3 linked regions of the Tamandua tetradactyla genome follow. The protein of the gene in region 2 interacts with the protein of the main gene of each other region in a pairwise test. Links are inferred from orthologs where the notes say so. Each region holds a gene or a part of one and is shown on either strand. Other genes may lie near its edges.

Region 1 (7,239 bases), on a different chromosome or scaffold from region 2:
TTAGTGCATCTTTAAGTAAGAGCATCTTAGATTTGATTAAATACAGCAAAGGTTACAAGAGCAAGTTTCTTTTGGGAATATAAAAGAGTTCATTTAAATATAGGAGATATAAAATGTCTAGGGTTGCACAGAGAAGATACAATTTTATACCTGAGTAATTTGTAAAGTCCCCAGAGGAAAAAAGCCCTTGGTTATCTGTGGTCAGATGTTAATGCGCAAGACTTTTTTTTTTTATTAAAAGAGCAAGGATCTTAAGTGCAAACATTTATGAGGTGGAAATGATGCTGCACAATTTTATATGTGAAAATTAGCAAGTGTTACATAAGTAATCATTTCCAAAACGAAGACCCTCTGCCTAGGGTAAAGTACGTAAATGTCTGGGAAACTTGGTTCTTCTTGCTTCTGTGGTCCAAGCCTACAAAATTCCTAAAGAGTTTTGTGTCCATCCTTTGAACTTATATTTGATTCTATGTATCAAGGTTTTGTCCTAGCTGTGCCACAAACTAGTTTTGAGAAGTTACTTAAGTTCTATTGATCTAATTCTTCATCAGTAAAATGAGTGGTCTGGACAAAATGACTAAGGTTCTTCCAGCTTTAAAGCTCCACAATTCTTTTCCCTTATTATCCTTATGTCAAAGGGCCTGAATAGAATGTAAAGAACATCATTTACTTAAGAAAGGTAACTTTTCTTCTTTTCTCTTAATTGTCACTAGGGACTATAAGAGTTCTCTCTGTCACCAGTACAGGATTTTATCATTTGGATTGCAGATTTATTGGGGGTTGGCAAAAAAAAATATCCATCGCCCTAAAATTAAAAGGTTCTGATCATAAATATCTCTTCCATTTTAGAGTTTCTATATAAACAAAACTCTGTCTGAAGCTTTTTGAAGTTAAGTATACTTGTTTTGATTTTGTTAGGGAAAAAAAACAAAAATCACCTGGGATCATCACTCCATAAATTTAGTCCTGCAAAAGACAGGAATGTTTAAACACTTCAAAAAACCATTAGAACTCAGAATGGAAAAATAAAAAGTTATCTAGTTACCCTTACCACAGTAAAGAATTGAAAACATTTTGTCGGCAAAACCTGGCTTCTTAATTTTTATTATATAAAGAAAACTATATATTAGTTTAAGTCATTCTTAATGCATTTGCCTCTTATTGTGTAAACTTTAAAATGTAAGGATTTCAACAAGTCCAAGTGGCCACATTACAGATACTAGAAGAATTCTTGAAAAATTAAATACATACAAATAAGTGAGGAACCTCTGCTCTTTCTATGTTATCTCATTAAATGGCATCAAATTGTATCAGTAATGGGGATACATAGCTTTTTCAAAATGGTCCAACACAGTACCATGACACAGTGATCTCTACTTAAGCTCACTTTAGCTTCTACTCAAAATGTTGTAGAAAAATAGTGCAAACTATGGCTGAAACCTGCAAGGTAAACTCAAATTTTAGTGGTAAGCATAACAAGACCTTGCTATATTTTAAACCTCATAAATCTGGGAAAGTTTCACATTCATTTCTTGAATACATCCTCAAAACATTCCCCTCCAGGTAGGCCTCTGAATGGAAACTCTTGGGAAACTTTTAAAATCCCATGATCACCTAAATAGGATTGGTCTAACTCCCTCTGTCCCTCTGTGACCCTACTGTACCTTGCAGACAGTATTAACAGGAAATCACTAAAGCCTGTTTCCCTAACATTAACTCTAAAACAGTTATCACTCTGACAAGTGGGTTTTAATTCTGCAAGTTTGAGAGCAATCAATATGTGCCAAGCTCTTAGTTGTACCATTTTTAATAAAGGAAAACATGAAAAATCATTTTCATTAGTTTATTGAACTTCTGTGAAAACAGATTAAGCTTTATTTACACACATATTATGTATTTATGTACAAATACATAAATATAAACAGTATGTAACATTTTGACCTCAGCACTTTTGGGGGCACACAAGAACAATGTAAGTTCAAGTAGCCCATTTCTCCTAACTTTATCCTCAGTCTCCAAGAATAAATATGCTAAAGTAAATATGCTACAATTCGGAAGAGTAGAAATTTTGCATTATCATTAACAGCCATCTCCTATGCGCTTTCTCATATCCATAAAATATACTGGTCTGGGCTTTAATAGTCTTTTTATCTCCAGTGCTGATATATTCTGTGAACTGAGTGACAGAGGAGAGACTGATGGAATACCAGCTCTTAAGCACCTTAACAGACTTCCTATATGCAAACTCCGTAGTGATTCAAAGCCTGAAACGGACAAACGGGCATATGAATCTTAATTTCAACCTTACTGAAATAAGTTGGGCAAATCTAAGCCTCAGTTCTCTCACCTGTAAAATGGGAAAATAACAGTATCTCATAGTTATGAATAACAAATTAAATAATGCAAGTAAAATGCGTTAACACAATAGTGTTGTTATTCCTGAAAAGCCACCCTTCCCCTTCTTTCTCAGAGCTACAAACTGGTAAGATCGAGGTATACAAACCAAGGATGAGAAAGAAATGAAGAAAAGTAAAACCAAGACGCAAACAACTCTGAAAATTCCCTCTTCATTCCCGGGAGCGAAGACTGGGGACCCGAAAGTGAAACCCCGACTTACTCGCTTCCTGCCGCAGCGGCTGGAAGAGAAAACACTGACGAATGTGCGCTAAGGTAAACAAACTCAGTGACACCGCCCAAAGCTCCCTGTGTGGGGAGGATGGCGCAGAGGCAACTCCGAGCCGGGGACCCCCGCTGGCTTGCAGAGCGCGAGCAGACCACCCGAGGCCCGACCGACCTGAGTCGTCCCAGTCTGTGCGCCCGGACCCCACTGAAGACCACCGGGCCGACCCCTCACCTCCACCAGCCGGCAATTCCCGGGAACAAAGTGGATGGAGAGCTCGTTCTCCCGCCCCACCATCCCCGCCGTCTTTGCGCCGCGGCCGTCGCGGCCGCCACCTCCGCCAGCCCAGGACCGCCGCGAGCCTTCGCTCCCTCCGCCTGGGCCCGCCTCCCTACCAGGCCAGCCTCTGCTCTCCGCTTCCGGCTTCCGCCGCCAGGGCCACGCCTGTTGATTGGACAAGCCCCGTCTACACGCCAGAAAGGGGCGGGCGCACGCGGGACGCTCTCAGCCCACGCGCCAGTTCTTAAAGTCATACACACAGCGGTGGCCCCAGACTTAACAATAACTACACGTTTTGTTTTAAGGGGTTTTGATTATGTGTGTGCTTGTTTCCTTTCTTCTTTTTCTTGTGGTCGCGGAAGGGTTGAATTTTGGCGTGAATGGAAGTTTACAGACTGCTCAATGCAAAAGACTCAACTGGGTATAAGAGAGACAGTGTACTGAAAAACATTTAAAAGTCTTGAGGAGTGTGGGGTTTTATAGATGTGGAAACAGACAGGGAATAAAAATAAGAAATTTGCATCTGAATCAGTAACACTTCAGGGCCCTGTTTGTCTTTCTCGGCTACTTTTAAGTAAATAAAATAAAAATAATAAGGCATTTGGGGGGGAGGGGGCGGGGCGTGAATTCTTTAAGAATCTGCTCAAAAAGCAGCTTCTTGGGCTTAACCCATATCTACAAAATAAGAATCTGGGGTCAAAGCCGGAGGAATCTACATTTTAGTGGTTGCAAGGGGTCTGAACACCGCACTTTAAGAAGCACCATCTTAGGGGCCGCAGTGCTGAGCAACGCCAGCTTAACTAAAGAAAGCCTTTGGAAATTTAAGGAAGGACTCGAGGGGCGAGTGCAATGCTGAACATTCTGCCACCTGTATCGCTGTTTAAAAATGATTCGGTTACAACAGTCCTGTTGAGACCGCCCTAGCACGCAACTAACTGATTTCCCTTTCAGTTCAAAACCGCAGGAGGCCCCTTCCAGCCAGGATGTCTAAGGAATTTTAAGCAGAAACAACAAAAATAAAACAAAATAAAAAACCAAGCTCAGACCTTGTAGGGTTCTCCCACTGTTCACGAATACTCTGAACGTTTTTGTTCAGACTCAGAGCAAACCGTGGTCTGAAGATCGCCCACAATGTGCCCACAATTTTTCCAAGAAAGACTTGTTTTAATAATACTTTCGGTTTTAGCTTATAAGCTAAATAAAACCGAAAATTATTCGGCTATAAGCAGTCTTTAAAAGTAGTTCTTCGAGGTCTGAACCCCGTGACTTTAATTTTTACCCATCCCCCAACAAGTACCCATTTCCTTTATTTGGCGTAAATCTAAAGTCCTTTTCAGAACCGTAACCGAAAAGACCCTGGGGCTCCTCACGTTTCTATTTTGGTGGTAATAGACGCTGTTCATTAGTTTAGCATCATTAGGGAATCCCAGACAGGACCACTCGGTCACTAAATATGCATAATCGGCAAACAATGAAAAGAAGGTGTGAGGGTTTGCTCCTCAAGAAAATCTGGGATTTTGTTTAAAGTTTCCAGTTGCAAATTCAGTCTAATCTTTCTAGGAAAACAAAAAATTAAGTATTCGATATGAATGAACATTTGGACATATATACGCAATAAGCATTTTGATTCCCATAACAGCCTTATCTCGAGTCAGGAATAAAAAGAGTTTACTTGCCTATATTTGAAGCCCTGGGTTTAGGATACTGGCCAGATAAAAAGTTGGGTATATTCTAGTTGCATATGTTCGTCTATGGCTTTCAGTCATACTATTTATGATGAAAGGTGCTATAAGAATAAATCGTTATTCAAAAAATATCCAAGTTCCTGACGTGGCTAAGTGTATAAATGCAAAGACTAGAAATTAGGTTGGCAGATTCAATTCATGCAAAGACAAAGGCTGGAACACACAACTATAAATAAAATCCTTACTTATATACAAACGTATGTATACAAATGCATATATCATTGCGTTTAATCTGGTAAGTGAAAGTGCTATTCTGTTGTGTGTTTTATTTTTGTCAATTAATGAAACTTAGATGAGATTTCCATAGCTTCGTTTCCTGGGTCAACAACTAAAGTTGGTTTAGTCTTCCGAGTCAGAGGGTTATATGTTTTAAAGAAACGAACGACACCCGTTTTTATTTTCATTACTGGGATGTTTTTAACGCAATTCTAACTCTGGGGTGCTTTGTTTCGTGAACAGCTAGCTCTTACCTGTTCTAGGTCTTCCGGCATTTCAGGCATGATTCCAAAATTATTTTCAGGAAAACAGAATGGACCTTAGCTTCTGCCTCCTCTCGCTGGGTCTTTGTCTGCTTCTGCCTGCAGAGAGCGCAGGCACGAAAACTTGAGCCGCCGCTTCACTTGACCTTTTGAATTAGCAGTTTGATTCCAATCCCAGAAACTCGTGCAGTTTTTCCACGTTGCAGTAAACTGGCAGCTGATTCCCTGTGACTGGCTTGAAAATACCCAATGAGAAGTTTCATGTTTAATTGCCAGCCAAGCGAGGGTCTATTTGCAGAACAATATGTTAGGTAGAACAAACTTACTAAAAACAGGAGCGCACTCCTATGTTCTGTGGAGCCTCCTTGCAATCTCTCTTGCAGTAGAAAAGCGAGGGCCAGCCGTTGGGAAGTATGCCAGCCTCGCGACTGATTCCTGTTCTGAAATATTTAATTCAGTTATTCCTTTTTACAACAGAAAATATGTAGTATATTTCTCCAGTGCTTTCTCCCCAGTGCTTTTTAAATGACTAATTCAAAAATCTGTAAAAGGCACCGCTGGTAACAACACAAAAAGTTAAAATGCAACAAGTCATTTCTATTAACATTTTGCTGCCCTTTTAAGTATTTAAGAAAATGGTAGATGAAGTGACCTTAAGTTTGGACAAATGTTAAGGATTTCCAGATCAGTGATTCCCAAGGCTCTCTGTACGTCAGTGGAACTAAATTATTTCCTAGAGTATGGCACATTGATCTCAGTTTCAAATAATATTAAGAGTGATAAGTATGTTCTGTTAAATTTTGAACTACTGTTCTAGATTATGACTTTGTGCCAATTTAACCATTTAAAATACCAGTCAGATAGAGCTAAAAAAAATGACAACTCTGAAACATTTAGAGGACACAGTTATAGTAAATTCCATGAAACACTCAGAGGAGTCCATAAGTTTACAGGAAAACTTTTGTGCATGTTTGTGTATTTCAATAAGTATCTTAGAAATTTGTATTGTCCAGATTAAAAGCTAAAACGTAACACTTTAGAGGAAAATGAAAGGGAATATGGTCAAAATCTAAGAATAAACAAATTATTTCTTAAATATGACAGGGAAAGTCAAAACCATAAACTTTTTAAAAATTGATAAATTAGACTTCATCAAAATTAAAAACGCACTCAAATCGCAGACGAGGAAAAATTATCCATACATACATCTGAAATGGATTTATATTCAGAATATATGCCAATTACTATAACTCAATAATAAGAAAACATTCAATGGACAAAAGCTTTGAACAGACACTTCACAAATGAAGTTATGAAGGTAGTCAACCAGTACATAAAAGATGTTTATCATCAGGTAGATGCAAATTAAAACCACATTAAGACATCACAACAGATTAAAATCTGTTAAAATCACAATGGTTAAGATCTAAAATACTGATAATATTAAGTGCTGATGTTTCTAATAACAGTCTATGGCTACCGGATGCCAGGGGACCTCCTCCTAAAAAGCCGATAACAGACCTGCTTTAGCCAAGGACAAAGGTCAAGAAAGTAAACGATCTCCCCAGAGGGGGAAGAATGTAACTACAGAGGTGAAAACCGCATTGATTTTATCTTAGTCTTGAACACTAATCTTAGTAAATATTAGGTTTTAGGCCCCTTTAAGGATTATACTAGAGACCTGATGCCCTCATACTATGTGGAATGTCTTTGTTCTGTAATCATATATACCCTCTTGCATTCCTGTTCCCTTTGTGGAGTGTTTAAGTCAGGCAGCTGCCACTGAAGAACTTCTGTTCATGCATCCCAGTAAACCCATGTCCGCTTCTGTGCCTGGTGTGTTTTTCAGTCTCCCAGCCACAGCCTCCCATGCTTGGTATGAGCTCGGTCTGGGCAAGAACAGTCTCTTCTAAGCAATCTAGGCTTTTTCTATCAAGCGCCTCAAAATACTTCCAGCTTCCACCACCCATTACCAAATTGCAAAGCTGTTTCCACATTTTTTAGGTATTTGCAATAGCAGCAGTCCACTGTCCAGTACAAACAACTATTTTAATTTCCCAGCTGCTAAAACAAATACCATACAATGTTTAAATAGTATTAAACAGTTTCAGCAAAG
Region 2 (7,805 bases):
AGATCTCTCTTTCAAGAAAAAGCTTCCAAGCAACTCTTTTCTGGAAGGCATATTCTCAGCCCACCACAGACCAACTGCAAGTCTCTTAACTGTTCACTACCTGGTCTCTCCTTTTTCACCTGGATATTTATTAACAAACTTCTCATAGGCCTCTTTCAAGTTTGGTATATACTTCCTAGTGATTCACAAACTGCGTTCTCTCTCCAAGGATCTCTTAAAATCTTTCTTCTATAAAGTCATTCTTGAATGAATATGAAATAATTTTACTCCTCCACTCTCTCCCCACTTACAACCCCCAGCACAATTCTACACTTCCATCTTCTTTAGAAATATTCATTTAATTCTTGCACCTAGCATCTTATTTGTGTAACAGCTGCTTATAACATGTTGGATCGTTGTCCATCCTGTATGTGAAAAAGGAGGAATGATATCTCATTAAAGTGCACCTCACAGTTTTGGAAAAGCCTGATAACCACAACTAGTTAGTCACAGAGCTAAGTGGTAGAATACATTTCTAATGTAATACAGTTTCTAATGGATACAACTAAATTAGATATGGTGTGTCTGGTTTTATTTATGCCTAAATCCACAAAGGTACTTAGTCAGACTTGAGCCCAATCTGCCTTTTAACCACATCTCTAGCACTCTCTTCTTTCTCCAAGCCTCAGCAGGCTACATTTTTCTCAGGACTCCTCAAACACTAAGTGTGGAGTACCCCTTCTTTCCCCTCCCCCTCATCCTGCCCTCTGCCTGGCCAACTTTCTTTGAGCCTTCATTATTGGCTCAATCCCATTCATGCATTAGGAATCAACTGGAACAGCTCCTCTGACCCCCAGCTCCTAGTCAGGTCCTTCTCGCGCATTCTCATTGTACCTATATCAGCATACTTACTGACATACTGCATTATAATCACCACTTTACTATTCAATCAGCCCCACTGTACTGTAAACTCCTGGAAGGTTCAGGCTGAATTCCTCCCCATTTGTCTCCCCAAGACCTGGAACCATGCTGGCTGGGCACACAGTTAGATCCCCAACAGACAATCAGTGCCTGACTGCTGAGACCTACTAGTGAACCCTGGGTAGGCTCCATGTGCACCTGGGTTCCTCACCTACTGTATCTTCCTTGCATAAAGCGGGGACAATGCAACCCCTGGCTCTTAAAGTTGCTATAGAATTAAATGAGGCATCATGAAGCTCTTAGTACAGTGCTTGCCACAGAGAACCATCACATTTGAATGACTAACATTACATCCTTAGTTATCCTATGTATCCTGGAAAATGTCGTGTTGTTGTGAGCAGTATTTTCAGTTTGAAAGACCAGGCAATCACACATCTAAAAATCACTGGCTACCTTCTGATCATGAGCAAATATTTGTTGTGGACCTGTTATGGGCAGGAGTCCTAGCTGGGTATCACTGAGCCCCTAGAACCCAACAAAAGAAACAATAAGACAAAACCTGTACCAATAGTCAAGAGAAAAAAAGGATGCTGTTAGTTTTTCTGTACAAACAGTATAGGTATTTTTCAAACAATCTAAGTTTTGCTTTATAATAGGGGGAAGGCACATGAAAAAAACCAGGGATAGAAAAAGTTCAAAATTAACTCCTGTCATCAAGTGAACCAACAGGAGGAGGCAACTGCTTGTTGCTATTTCCAAATTTCACTTTTACTTAGACATATTTCTCACAAAGGAAATTTAATCATGACCAGGACAGGGACAGACGACCTTTACTTCTCATTCAAATGGAAATTCCACAGATAAGTCCCTAGATTTTTTCCAGTTAGTTTAATTTTGTAGCTTTGAAAAAATGGCTGGAGTTTCATCTGTTTTCTACAAACAGAATGTGGAACGGCTTTTTTTTTTCTTTACCACCTTTAAAAGAGGATAAAACGCACCCTTCTTAATCACAATAGCCTCTTGATAAGAATTACAAAACTGGACATGGTGCCACCTAGTATTAGGAAAGGAGGCTGTGGCCTTAAAACCATTTCCCCCCTCACCAACCCAGAGGTCAGAGTCCCAGTGAAGTTTGTACATTATACTACATTGCTTTGGGTAGCTGCAGAGAGACCTCTAGCGCTGCCTGGATAAGCCTAGTTTGCAAATAGTACCTGCTAATGTCACCTTAACGAGACAATGGCAACATGCTGAGTAGCAACGAACTCAGTGACCACGATGAATGTTTACAGTTTTGCAACCACTTAGGAAATCCTACCTGCTTGGAGCAAGAGATACATAAGGCCGAACGAACCCGAGCATCCAATTTTATTTCCGTAAAACCCTTCGAAGAAAGCATCCACCTTTGCAAACCCCACTCCAAGAAAGGCTAAGAAAACGGGTCCTGTTAGCGGAGGTCGGAACAACCTTTCCTCCAAAGCCTCCACACAATAGATGGTAAACTACTGACCATCTTCACCTTGCCCCAAATGCCAGCAGAAGCAGGAGCGGGAGCTGGAAGAGCTCAGCACGCCTGACCCAAAGGACAACCCTGAAATACAAGAAAATGGTCCTGGCGCATCCTACCCTCCCCCACCCACCATCCTCAAACCCGTCAGTTCCCCGGCTGGTCCCCACCCCCTCTGCGGACCGCCACCACCAGCCTTGGGCCCGGCTCGCCCGCGGGAGGCGCGGGAACGGGCCGCGCCTCGGTCCCCAGCGCCGGCAAGCTGGAAGCTGCACTGCCCGGGGGCAGCACCCCTGCCTGCGCGGCCCCCGCCTCGGCCCCGCGGCCCTCCCTCGCCGACACCAGGCCGCGCCCGCGTGACGGGGCCCACCACGCCGGCGACTCGCGGAGGGCGGCTGCAGCCCGGGCCTCCCCGCTGACCGCCCCGCCCGGTGCCTGCCTGGCCGCCAAAGCGCGCTCACCTCCACATCGCGGCCCTTGTTCTTGAAGCTCTTGATGCGGTGGTTCTCCAAGCCGGGGTTCTCGGCCATGGCTGCGCGCGACTCCGGCGGCGGCTCCTCCTGCGGCGGCGGCGGCGGCGAGTCTCGGCGCGGAGGGGGGGACCGCGGGCGGGGCGGGGGCGCGCGTTCCGCGACGCCGCTGGGCGCGAGGTGGCAGCAGCGCCGGGGGAGCGGACCGATGGACAGGCGGGGCGGGGCGCGGGGGGGGGGTGACGGCGCTGAGGGGCGGGGCGTGCCCGGGAAGGGGAGGGGGCGGGCACGTGACCGGGGGCGGTGCCCAGCCTGGTTCTGGGGGTGACCTCCGCCCCCTAGCAAAGCCTCCCCAGCACCCCTCGGGCTGCAAGTCATACACCAGAAATGGAGCCGGGTTTGGTGGCTTTTACTCGCCCGCGTGCGCGAGAGCCGGCCGGAGACTACAGTTCCCGGCATGCCAAGCTTCGGCCGGGGGAGATTCCTCGCGCCCTTGGGAGAACGAGGGGAATGCCGGGAGCCCTGCGCGCGCCTGGGCGCGAGACCCAGCCCCAGGGCCTCCTGTGGGCGGGGAAGGGGGCGGTGCTTCCCGGAGCTGCACCTTGCGCCCTCCTGCGACGGAGGGGGCGGGGCTTCCTGGGGAAATGAGAAAGGAGCTCCGCTTGTGCCTTGCTCCCTCGCTTCTCCGGACTCCTCCTGCAAGAGTACCACCACCCTCACCCGCTGTTCCCGGGCTCTGCTTTGGGCTGGGAAAAGAACATTTATTTCCACCTGACCTGTGCGTGGGTGTGAACGTGATATGTGTGTTTACGTCTGTGTTACCTGACTTACAGCACCGGAATTAAGCTCGGGGAGAGCAGGCACTTTGGTTGACATTTCATAGCTACTGGACAAACGATGGCGCTTCAGCACCTCCGGATTTCTTCAGCCTCCTCCCAATCCCCGTGCTGCCACCTCCATCCCCTCTGTGGCAGCCCCTGTACGTGTGTGTCCCTGACTCCTGGTCAGCCACCACGCACAATCTCAGTCTCAGAGGCCCTACTCCGCGGGCTCTCCAGTTAGCATCTCTTCTTAGGCTCTTCAGAGGAAGAATCCAGGGGGATTTGCCTCAGAACACTCAGAACTGTTTTCTGGGGCAGGTGGGCTTCGTTTAATTATTTGTGAAATTCAGTTTCAGACTCTGGTGGATATAAACAGGCAAAAAAATGTTATTGTACATGTAGTTCAAATGAACTGATGTCCTTCAAAGATTGCTAGAAAGATAACCATGATGAGATTACTCAAAGAACAGACTTTTAAGGGGCCTAAAAGAGCCAGAGGTCCCAAGGTCACAAACTCAGAGGCATTCAATGGCCAGGCAGGAAATCCAATGGAACTGGTCAGGCTATGTCCAGGGGCATTTGTTTTCTGAGTGGCAGGTGGCCAGTTGGTAAACACAGGACTATTTAAAGGCTCCAGACCCTTGTAGCCCAGTGTTGCCTGAGGGTCTAATTTTTCAAAAGAGTAACAAAGCTGGATTTTTTTTCCTTTATTTTTAAATGACACTTTTTTTTTTTAATGTACTTGGATATCCAGTCAGTATTCTGCTTTGAAACTGTTATATTCCCCAGAAAAGCCATGTTCTTCTAATCTATTCTCCTGAGTGGAAACTTTCAATTAGGTTGTTTCCATGGAGATGTGACCCACCTTATTCAAAGGTTGGTCTTAATCATCTTTACTGGAGTCCTTTATGAAAAGATAAAAGGCAGAGATATTTTGGAAAGGGCTCAGAAACAGAAATGCCCCAGGAGGAACAAGCAAACACACACAGAAGCTCAGAGACATTCTAGAGAGAAGGGCCAGTAGACATCACCATGTGACTTCCCAGGTGCAAGAGGAACCCTGGATACCATCGGCCTTCTTCAGAGTCAAGGTATCATTCTCAGGATGCCTTAATTTGGGCATTTTCATAGCCTTAGAACTGTAAATTTGTAATTTAATACATTTCCTTTGCAAAAGCCAGTCCATTTATGATATATTGTATTCCAGCAGCTTTAGCAAATCGTAACACTTAGGAACTCCAGGCTTTCAGTCTGCCACTCCTGGTCCCTAACCCTTTTGAAAGAAAAAAACATCACTAACAAAAAACTAGGACTTAAAATGAACAGATTTCTTCAACTCTCGTTCATAAAGATATAGAGGTGGCATATGTGTCACTTTCCCAGATTATCTGGGAGGGGAAGGAGAGAAAATTCTATACTGTTGCTGAATCCCTGTTATAATTAAGCAAGGTATTCTTTTATCCCCTTCTACCACCTCCCTTCATCCTACCTGCTGCCTTCAAATGTATAAACCTTTCTTGACTCATTTTGGAGTTTTAGACATATTTGGTGATCACTTACTGTGTATGTCAGCCTTGGTACTAGCATTAAGATCCTCTTGTAAACAGGACAACCTGGTTCCAGGAGACATCACAACAAAATAAATAATCACTCAGAAAATGGGGTGGAAGTTAAGAAAGGGTAAGGAAGCTCAAAGCCCTCTACAGGGAGACTTTTATAACCTGTCCATTCCAAACTTTTGAGGCTCTCAGAGCAAAAGTGTAAGTGGAGGTCTACAATTCATAGGTATAAATATTTAGAAGTTATAAATCAAGCTGAAAAACTTAAATAAAATATATTCTAGCCTCTTGCATTAACAAATGCACCTCTTCAACAACCTTAGAGTCTGAGTTCAAATTTAAATGTCTTAATTTCCCCAACTTCTGCTTCAGAAGGTGGCTTCTCAAGGAGGGTTGGGGCCCCACCCACATCTTGCTGTTTGTCCCCCTTCTCTTCCCTGTCCTGATTCTGTGCCACACTGTAATGACCCATAATGTTCAAGTCCTGCCTACTCATCCCCAAAGCTCTGTCTCCATCCTTCTACCTGCCTCAAGAGGGTTAGGCCTAGATGCACAAGCAGAGGTGGCATGATGTCTCCCTTGGAAGACAGACCCAGAGAAAACACTTGGAAAGACCCTGGGAACAGGCTTGGAGTGATTTGAGCAGGGAACCCCAGGGCACTGGTACTCAGAAATTGGTCCAAAGGTTCAGGTTCCAGTGAATAAGATCCTTTGGCCCCATGGACCCCTTTCCTCATGGAGGGGGGTGGTGGATACACCAGAAGTGAGTTGAGATCCTCTCAAAGTTAGTTTCCAAAGCTGGGACCCCTCTTGCCCAGGTCTAACTTAGTCACTTCTTGCCATTATCCCCTGGTGATTTCAACATCCACAACTCAGGAATTCCAGTCCTAGATTCTCTTCACATCTTAACTTCACTGGGTTTCTATCACTTATAACCTATCAGGCCTTGGAGTTCTTAATCTCCAGGAAATGACCACCTCCAGCAACTCAAATTTGGTGTTTCTCATGGCTAGCACCTACCTGCTACTTTTGGCTTCACTGTAGTCTTGACCCTTGCCCTGAAATTTCTCCTGGTAACTCTTCTTTTAAATAGACTTATTTTCCAAATATATGTTGAGTGCTCACCACCCACCAAGCATTGTCTTCATCAGGGAAACAGGGTCTGGGGGCGGGGGGTACCAGAACAGAGGTAGAAAGAAAGGGCCCAAAGCCAGGGGATCAGCCAAACCCTCCTTCATCCTCTGTTTCATCATCCATCATTCCCAAAGCATTGGGAATCTTGCTAGGTGGCGATACACAGCAGGCAATGCAAACCCAACAGATCCAAAAGGGAACGCATCATTTTCCCCTCAAATCAGCTTCTCTTTGTAAATTCTCTGGCTCTATGATGATATAGCCGTTCCCCCAAGGCCTCCTTGCTCAAAGCCAAGAGCCGTTTTTGCTTCCTGCTCTTCCCTTGGCTCTCTCACCCTGCTACCATGTTAATTCATCCTTCAGTGTTTTCTTAATCCTTCAGTGCCACCCACAAGACTGCCATTATGCCTCTCCATTCTGGTGGTTTGGCACTGTAGGTGCTCCAGAAAAACATGTTCTTAAACTTAATCCACTCCTGTGAGTAGGAACCCATTGTAAGCAGGACCTTTTGATGAAGTTCCTTTGGTTAAGGTGTGGTCCACCTCAAGCAGGATGGGTCTTAATCCTATTACTGGGGTCCTTCATAAGCAGAATGAAAGTCAGACAGAGAGAGAGAGAAAGCCACAAAAGGCACAAAGCTGAAATTCAATGGAATCTGGAAGAGATGGGAGAGACCAGAAGAGGCCACCATGTGCCTTACCATGTGACATGACAGAGGAGCCCAGGACTGAGGATTGCTAGCAGCCAGGCTCAGAACACCAGCCTCTGGGAAGAAAGATCACTTTGCTGATGCCTTGATTTGAACTTCTCCTAGCCTCAAAACAGTGAGCCAATAAATTCCCATGCTTTAAGCCAACCCATTGCATGGTATTTGCTTGAGCAACTAAGGAAACCAAACCATCTGTTCTCTCCACAATGACTCAAATCCCTTCTCCTGATTTTCCTGACTTTTCACCATGATCTGACCCAGACATCCCTCTTCCTCCACCACTGTTAAATCATTTCTAAACTCAGTCTGGTGATTAAGGTCATAAGTGACCTGGCCCCAGCATTGAACACTTCTCTTATTTCTGGTTTTCCTACACAAAGCTCATGCTTTACCCAACAGGTTTGATTCACCCTTTTCCAAACATGTTTTTGCCTTTCCAACTTCCCATCTTTGATGGTTTTTTGGGGGTGGGGAGGAAGATGCATGGACTGGGAATTGAACTCAGGTCTCCCGCAGGGAAGGTGAGCATTCTACCACCGAACCCCCTGTGCACCACTCCCCACCAACCTTGATGTTTTGATTTGCTTAGAAAGCCCCGCCCCTATCTTTGCCTGTCAAAATCAACCCTTCTTTAAATACCCATCCCAAGTCCATGAAACTTTCCCAGCTTGGCACAGTGGAGGGACCTTTCAAATCTGAAAACTA
Region 3 (7,952 bases), on a different chromosome or scaffold from region 2:
AGGGCCTCGGCAGCGGCCAGAGTGACCTAGCTGGGCAGTCGTTCTGTCAGGCCTCAGTTTCTGGGCCCTCGGGGCTGCTGCCTTTATTCCGGAAGTGCTCTCTACTCCGCTTTTTGCTACCATGGAAGCCAACAGCCTCCACCACTGGGGGCCCCCCAGGGTCAAGCACTGACTCACTGCGGGCAACCTCCTCGGGCAGCCCCCCCTCAGTCTCAGGACTTGCCACTAGATGGGCCAACTCCACGGAGTCCTCGGCCTCTGCCAGCCCCAGGTCCCCAGGGACACTCCTGCCTGGCCCTCCTGCCTTGCCCAGGACCCTCTTCCTCTCAGGTCTGGCCTCACCAGCCCGGGCCGGTTTGGAAAAGATGATTCTTCCTTCCCCGCGGCTGGAGGGGTCCTGGTTGAAGGAGGGCGCATAGTGAGTGGGGGCAGCCGGGCCCCGGGAGCCCAAGAATGCCAGGGCTGCAGCCTTGTTGCTCTGCTCGCTGGCTTCGGCCACGTCCTCCAGGCTGTACCTGGTCCAGCGCTCGGGGTGGGTCACGTAGTCAGGGACAGATGGTGCCCTCAGGGGAGCAGGGTTTCGACCAGACCTACCCAGGGCCTCTCTGAGAGGCTGGCTGGGGGGCACAGGGGGCAACTTGAAGTCCCCATCGTCACCCACGCTGGTGACATGGGCCAGAGAGGGCAGGGCCTGCTTGGCCGCCCCCTCCAGGCAGTCAAAGATGTCCCGGCTGCGCTGCGAGAAGGTGGAGCTCATGCCTCTCAGGTGGAACAGCTGGACGGGGGCTCCTGGGAGGTCCAAGGGGAGACTGGGGGGCTCATCAGGCTCAGAATCCCCACCAGCTTTACCAGGCAGCCCCTCAGGGGACAGAGCTTCCACCTCAGCACCGACCGGCAGGCTGAGGTCCGAGTCCGACTCCGAGTCGCTGAGGGAGACTGTGTCAGAAGGCAGGGCATCATACTCTGCCCCACGCTCGGCATCCAAGCTGGGGGACGGCTCGCCTGCCCCTGCCTCCGCCATGTGTGCCGAGGGCTGCACCACACCTAGACGCAAACAGCCCAGGGACTTAGAGCTGCCTCTACAGAGAAAGGGCCTGGGTCCCACCCTTACCCATGGATAGCCCTCTCTCACCTCCCTCGTTTCCTGGACGCTTGAAGCTGGTGCCTAAGTGCTGGCTGGCGAGGCAAAGGCGCCCTGACCCAGTTCCGCGGCTGCAGAGGCGAGGTCTTCCCAGTCCCAGGAGACTCCCCAGCACGGCTCTGCTTGGCTGCTCAGCTACAGCTGGATGAGGGTTGGGGAAGAGACTCAACCATCAGGCCAGAGAGTGAGCGTGCAAAGTGGCACTCACGAGGGAGCCTGTGTTCACCATGCCCCCAGTGCATGCTAGGCACTGCAGGAGGCACTACCAACACATTACTTCACTTAATTCCAATAACCCTCTTAAGACAACATCGTCTTAAGTGCAGGCTGCAGAGATGGAGGCTCAGCAGACTCACTGGCCTACTTGGGGGTGGGGGGGATTTCACTGGTCCACAACTCAGCTAGGGTCTGAGCCTAGGATGAGGACAGCCTCTGCTCACGTACTGCAGGGCCCTTGACGAACTGCTTAACAGAGTACCCAGCACAGACTCAGTATCCCACAGAGGTCGGGGCACCTTCCTGGTCCATGGGCAGGAAGTTGGCATGTACTTGCAGGGAACTGCCCTGGGAGCTCTGAAGAGATCAAGACCTTCGCATCCAAGTCTTGGAAAACTGGGGAGTCAGTGACCACCTGGAGCAGCTTTTCTGACAAACAGGCCCTAGGCAGCTTCTGGAACAACCTCCATTCCGCATCTCCCCTGCGGCATCCAGGCAGTCAGAGAAGTGCTGGAGACACAGGCAGGGTCTGGCGTCTCTGGGAGGCTTGGAGCTTGGCTGACCGCAGGCTGAGGACAGCGCGGCCTCGCCCCCAGCCAATCGCCACCACCACCTCCTCCTGCCCAGCTTCGCTGGCTGCTGCACCCTGAGGATGCAGACAGGCCAGGAGGGGCTGAGAGCTCCCTGCCGGGCCAGACACGGGGAGATCTCAGGGTAGGAATAATCGGCCTAAGTTACCCAGTTCCAGCCGGACTCTGCTTCCCCAATTCGCACTGTCCTCTGCACCCCGGGGACGCTGCCGCGACTAATCAAAGTAGCCTGGTGGGCGGGACTCCTGGAATAAAGGAAATTCAGCTAGCGGAGCGCAGAGTTGAGCGGAGGCTGAGGGTCTAGGCAGCCGGGGACAGGGGGCAGCTTCCTACGGTTGTCTCTCCCCTCGGGACCCAGCGAGCTAGCACGCGCAGGCTCCCCACGTCGGGGAACCACGGGACGGCTCTCGGGAGCCGGTAGATTCTGGCCGGATAGGTCCCGAAGGCCAGGCCGCGAAGGGAGGGGGTCCTGTGTGCCGCGGGACCTCTGGGCTCGGGGATGCGGACAGCCGCCTCCCAGCCACAACCTACCAGCTCTCGGCGGCCTTCGCCTCCATCTTGATGGGCGCGCCCGCCGGGTCGCCGCGCTCGGCCTTCTGGGAAACCGAGTCCTCTGAGGCCGAACGCGGCGGCTCCCGCGGCCAGAGAACTACAACTCCCACAAGGCACTGGGGGCGCGGCGCCCGAGGCATGCCGGGACTGCTAGGCCAGGGGGCGTCGGCGTGCGCGCTCCCTATAATCTCCGCGCGCTGGGGGCTAACAGCCCAGGCAGCGGCGGCGCTTCTTCTAGAACGAAGCCCGAACTGACTCAGACGCGGAGGGGTGCGGGGGCCCGGGCTGCGACACTCACAATCCTGAGGGCTAACGGCCAGCGTGAAGCTCCAGGCGTCCCAACACCACCAGGGGAGGGGGGCCGCAGGGAGAGCGCGACGGCCCACGCCGGAAGCGCGGCCTCGAGCGCCGCTAAGCGGGGTGGGTCCTTCGGACCTCAACCGGAAGAGGCGGTGCCTCGCGCCTCAGCCGGAAGGGGCGGTGCCTCGCGGGTGCTGTAGTCCGAGTTTCAGCTCCGGGGCCGTCTGCCGGCGCTCGTGCGCTTTCCGCCGCGTTCCCGTCCCCGCCTCGGCCAGCTGCCGTGCCAGCTCCGCTCCGGGCCTGGCTGCAGCCGACACGTAATGCGGGCGCAGTCTGGGCACCCCGCTGGCCTGGGTGCCTCCCACCCGCATCCCAGGCGCTCCCCGACCCCGGCCCCGCGGACCTCCTGGTTCCCTCAGGGACGCGGCCGCGGCCAGCCATCCCCGCCACGTGGGCTCTGACGACAGCGGGCCCCATCTGGGCTTTCTACCCGGGGCACTGACGGCGCGCCTGCCTCCTTCGGTCACCGGGGAGACGCGCCTCAGGGGAAGTGAAAGGGAGACCTGCAGGTGGGGAAGCCAGGGCCCAGCGTTCGCCTGGCTGCGTCCTCCCAGGGCCCCCGGGGAGAGCCCGAGTAGGCCTGGGGGCCGTGGCCCGGACGGCCCCGCCTCGGGAGGCTGGCAGCCTGTTGGAGGGGCCCGCTGCTGTGAGGCAGGTCACGTCCGCACAGCAGAGAAGGAGGTCCTGGTCTCCCTTCCCCCGGGACGGCTGATGAGCCCATCCGTGAGGCCCCTCAGCTGCCCAGCTCCACTTTTAGGGGGACGGGGTGGTGGTCGAGAGAACCTGCCCTTTTCCCCGGCCTGGCCTCTCCTGGGAACCCAAGGACTCAAGGTCCTGTGTGGTCCAGCCCAAAAAAGACCCAGAGGGGTTTGAGACGTGCCCCCTCTCAGTCCCTGATGTGCTGGGCAACCCTGAAATACCCCATTTGTGAGGCTCAGTCCCCACCTGCCTCATCAGGATCCCACTGTCGAGTGAACCATAAACTTACTTTTGGACCCCACGTCTCATCCTGCAGCATGCCATACGCGAGGCTATACCCAGACCACCAGGCCACAGTCTTGGGCAGGGATCCAGGGGCAGCAGAAGGGGCTCCTTGGACCATCCTGTGCTGTCCCAACCTGCCCGAGCGTCAGTAGTAGGGAATGGGGGAGGCCTGCTGAGACCCCGGGGCAGGACTGGAAGTCCCTGACATAGTCAGATAGGCACTTGTCAGGACTATCCCTGACATAGTCAGATGGGCACTTGTCTCTGGGGGCCCAGCTGAGCTCATGACACCTTCACTCAGCATCCTTGGGCTCCCAGGGAGCGGGGGACCAGGCAGCAGGGTCTGGGCTGCACTCACTGAAACCTCTAGAACAGAAAGACCTCCGTGGGCCCAGGGAGCAGGCCAGGTGGTCTTCCCCACCAACCCTACTCCAGCCTCCCAGCTTCTCCTGATGGGCAGTGAAGAGTCCCTCACCCCTTCAGGAGGGGAACATGTCAGAAGGAAGGGGAAGGAGTGCTAGCACCAGGCATCCATGCCAAATCCTTGCAGTCCCAGGCAGACAGCAGCCCCAGAGCAGCCCTGGTGCTCTCAGATGGGGTGTGGGGCTCTGACGAGCATGAGGAAAACCCAAGGCTGGAACAGCCCTCAGAAGCAGGGAGGAGTGGGGGGTGGGATCTTGTAGCCACATGGACCGTTGTCCAAGGACCATGGGTCCACCATTGCCAGGTCGGGTCCAGAGCCAGCTGGGGCCCCCCAGGCCTCTAGCCATCCCCGGGGTGTGGCATTGCCTGGCACAGGAAGGGGCTCGGGCAGCCACGTTAGCATGCCTGGTTTTCCTTTTTTATTGAATGACTGTTCCAAGATGTTACAGTTACAGTTGAAGATGACATGTTAGAAAGGATAGCTGCAAGAAGGCATACGGGTGCTCTAGAAAAGGGGTGGGAGGAGGAACGCGGATTAAAAAAGGCGGGAGACGCCCAGCCCCCAGGTCAGGCTGGGGTGGGAGGACACAGCCCATCAGCCGGGACAGGTGCCCCCCTGGACAGCTGTGCTGGACAGACAGAGCCCCCAAGGCAGGGACTCCTCGTGGACCCCTCCCCTGCTTCCCCAGGCTGGGCCCAGGCCCTTCTCCTGCCACCTACGCCTGGCGCAGGCCCCAAAAGGGTAACAGGAAACCAGAACAAAACAAAACCTCAAAAGTAAAAATGCTAAGTATAGCAGGGTAATACCGGAAACGTTATATACACAGGTGGTGCCAGGGGCCGCCTAAGAGATGGCCGGGTCATGAGGGGAGGGCCGTGGGGGTCCCACTGGCTGGCTGCTACCCTCTGCCCTCCCCCACCCCACAGCCAGGGCTGCCGGGGCCTCAGTACACGGAGCTGTTCCGGATGCCGCAGCACAACACCATACTCAAGATCATCTCGAAGATCTGCGGGGACAGGGGTGGGCACGTGAGGTACAGGGAGATAGTGACTGGCCCCCCAGACCCCCGCGGCCCAGAGTCCCAGCCCCCACCCGCCCGAGCCGGCTCACCATGATCACAGCAACCACAATGGCGGCGATGCCGATAAGGTACAGCTTTCCCGAGAAGAGGTCGTCGATCTTCTGGTGACAGTCCTCCTGTGGGGAACACAGGAGTCATTAGGGCTGCAGGGCACCAGCCCTTGGCTCACTGTCCCACCCCCCTGCCCACACCCTCCCTCCTGGTGCTACAAAGCTTCACAGAAAAAGTATGGGAAATACAGGAAAAGCACCAAAGGAGCTTGCCCCTGCCTCCTCCTAGCCATGTTGGGCCAGTGCGCACCACCCCCCTGCCCCCAGCTCAGAGCCCCTTGCACCCATCTGGGGGCCTGCACGGTCACAGTGGCCTCCCAGGGGCACCAGGAGTGCCGGCCTCTCACATGGGGCCGTAGATGGCTGCCTGGGGGAGCCTGCAAGCTGCCCAACTCCTCATCCCCAGATCCCCAGACAGGTCCCCCCAGAAAGATGTGTTCAACTTGTCGCCCCACCCAGCGGGCGCATGCCCACGGGAAATGGGACCTCTGCAGAGAGGCCCAAAGGGACTGGGGTGGGCCCTACACCAATGGGACTGAAGGCCTCACACGCTGGGGACATTGAAACTCGGCCAGGGAAGGCGAAGGGGCCGCCGGGGAAGCAGCAGGCTAGTGCCGGCACAGCACACAGCCTGGGAGAAAGACCCTGGCGCTTTAGACGCTGTGAGACAAGCCCCCAGCAGGCAGCTTTGTCCTGGGAGCCCCAGCAGACGGAGATAGCAGATGCCATGGCCTTCCTCGGCCACACCTTGACCCCCCAGCCACAGTGTCCCAGCAAGGGGCAGCCTGCCCACGCTGGCCAGGGACCCGCCACCCAGAAACAGTCAGGCCCAGCCCCACTCCTGCCTCAGGGGTCGCCCCGAGGGGCGTGACGTACCTTGAGGAAGTTGCTGATGATGTTGCTGCCCGATGGACAGAGGTTATTCTTGGTCAGTGTGCTGGCCAGCATGGTCAGGGTGCTGGAGCCACAGCAGTTGAGCTGCAGGGAACGAGGGCAGTGGTTGGGCCAGGGCGTCACGCCTTCCCACCAGCCCTCGGCCGGGACAGAGTGATGGGGTGCGGTGAGGTCTGGGGGATGCTGAGGACCCCAGGATCAAGCAAAGGGCGGAAAACTGGGCCCCAGCAGCACCCCGTCTGGGTTCCCAGGGGTGCAGAGCTCAGGGGACCAGGCTCCTGCCTCCCGCAGCTCCAGGCTGAGGCCAGGACCTGACCCCCGGCCCCCGCACCGTCTCATGGAAGGTCTTCACGACGGTCTTAGCCTTGTTGTCGTCGTCGTCCACCACAGCCTGCTGCAGCGCCTGGTCGTAGAACTGCTTCACGTCCTTGGCGATCTGGGGGGCGGGCGGGCACCCCTCAGTGGAAGCGGTGCACCCACACTCCCAGGAGGCAGGGACACGGCCCCGCTCTGCCCGCGGCTCAGCCCCGAGGCCGCCTCCCCCAGAAAGCCCTCCGTGACTTTGCTCTCAGCCCCGAGGCTGCCTCCCCCAGGAAGCCCTCCGTGACTTTGCTCTCAGGTGGGCCCCAGGGGAGCCCATCCCCGGCTAAGGGCCAACCCGCCCGCCCACACCTGAGCACAGGGCCCTCTCCGCTGCCCCCCCAGGCTCTGGCTCACCTGGTCTTTGTTGACGAAGCCCCAGATGCCAGCGGCCACTTCACAGGCAAAGAGGATCACCAGGCAGGTGAAGAACTGGGTGGGGTGGGGGAGGGTGCAACATCAGAACAGGACAGGACACCCAAACAGCCCACGTTCCGGACCAGACCCCAGGGTCTGCCCGCTGACCCTTCCCCAGGCCCGCGAGAAGCACTGCCTACTCCATCTCCCAGGCTTGTCCATGAGAACTGCAGCTGCTCCTGGGCCTGCCCCATGACCCCCAATCTCCTGAGGATCCCAGGCCCGCCCTCACCCTGTCCCTCAGTCCCTGCCCCCCCACACCTCCCCTGTAGTCCCCAGGTCCACCCCACAGTCTCCCCACTAGCCCCAGCCCGGCCATGGCCCCCCTGCCAGTCCCTGCCTGACCCCACCCTCCCACGGTCCCCAGCCCACCCCAAGCCCCCTGTGGCCCCCGACCCAGTGCCCCGCCAAGCTCTCACAGTCCCCAGCAGACACTGTGACTCCTGGATAGCTCCGTAGCAGCCCAGGAAGCCAACGAACATCATCACGGCGCCCACAGCGATGAGAATGTAGATACCTGGGGGAGGGGGCGTGGTCGGCTGTGTAGACGCAGTGGCTGGCGCCCCAACAGCCTGAGAGCAGGTGCAGTGAGGCGGAGCCCCTGTCCCCCGCAAGCTGGCAGGGCAGCACCCTTTCTGCCGCTGTCAGCATCAGCACTTGGCCGCCTGTCCCCAGGGGCTGCACTGTGACAACTGCCCCAGGATGCCCTTATCAGACAAGGTGGCCGCGCTGGTGGGGGGCAGGGGTCCCTGGTCCCAGGACAGCACAGTGACAGAGTGGCAGGGAGCACTCAAGAAGGGCCAGGGGTCCGTGTCTCCTCCTCCCTCCCTCCCACCTCCTGCAGCCCTAGGTGGGCTCTCCATGGTGGGGGCGGTGCTGAAGG

The links.
Region 1: the proteins of KPNA3 (region 2) and MAT2B interact in binary tests that used the Homo sapiens proteins (3 or more experiments, as listed by UniProt). The two-hybrid records come from large-scale screens. The link is inferred for Tamandua tetradactyla from reciprocal best matches to the Homo sapiens genes KPNA3 and MAT2B.
Region 3: the proteins of KPNA3 (region 2) and TSSC4 interact in binary tests that used the Homo sapiens proteins (3 or more experiments, as listed by UniProt). The two-hybrid records come from large-scale screens. The link is inferred for Tamandua tetradactyla from reciprocal best matches to the Homo sapiens genes KPNA3 and TSSC4.

The regions. Positions count from the first base shown.
Region 1 is NC_135346.1:44,625,401-44,632,639, reverse strand, and holds the start of MAT2B (methionine adenosyltransferase 2 subunit beta), read right to left. Parts: upstream 3,006-7,239; 5' UTR 2,918-3,005; coding exon 2,855-2,917; intron 1-2,854.
Region 2 is NC_135330.1:108,182,291-108,190,095, reverse strand, and holds the start of KPNA3 (importin subunit alpha-4), read right to left. Parts: upstream 3,002-7,805; 5' UTR 2,938-3,001; coding exon 2,869-2,937; intron 1-2,868. UniProt on the Homo sapiens protein: Functions in nuclear protein import as an adapter protein for nuclear receptor KPNB1. Binds specifically and directly to substrates containing either a simple or bipartite NLS motif.
Region 3 is NC_135335.1:2,280,612-2,288,563, reverse strand, and holds the start of TSSC4 (U5 small nuclear ribonucleoprotein TSSC4), read right to left. Parts: upstream 3,006-7,952; 5' UTR 2,798-3,005; intron 2,584-2,797; exon of another isoform or gene 2,479-2,583; intron 2,193-2,478; exon of another isoform or gene 2,096-2,192; intron 1,283-2,095; 5' UTR 1,133-1,282; intron 1,045-1,132; 5' UTR 1,022-1,044; coding exon 47-1,021; 3' UTR 1-46. Other genes in the region: CD81 antigen, read right to left, coding at 5,211-5,273, 5,378-5,464, 6,275-6,376, 6,624-6,728, 7,010-7,084, 7,489-7,586. UniProt on the Homo sapiens protein: Protein associated with the U5 snRNP, during its maturation and its post-splicing recycling and which is required for spliceosomal tri-snRNP complex assembly in the nucleus.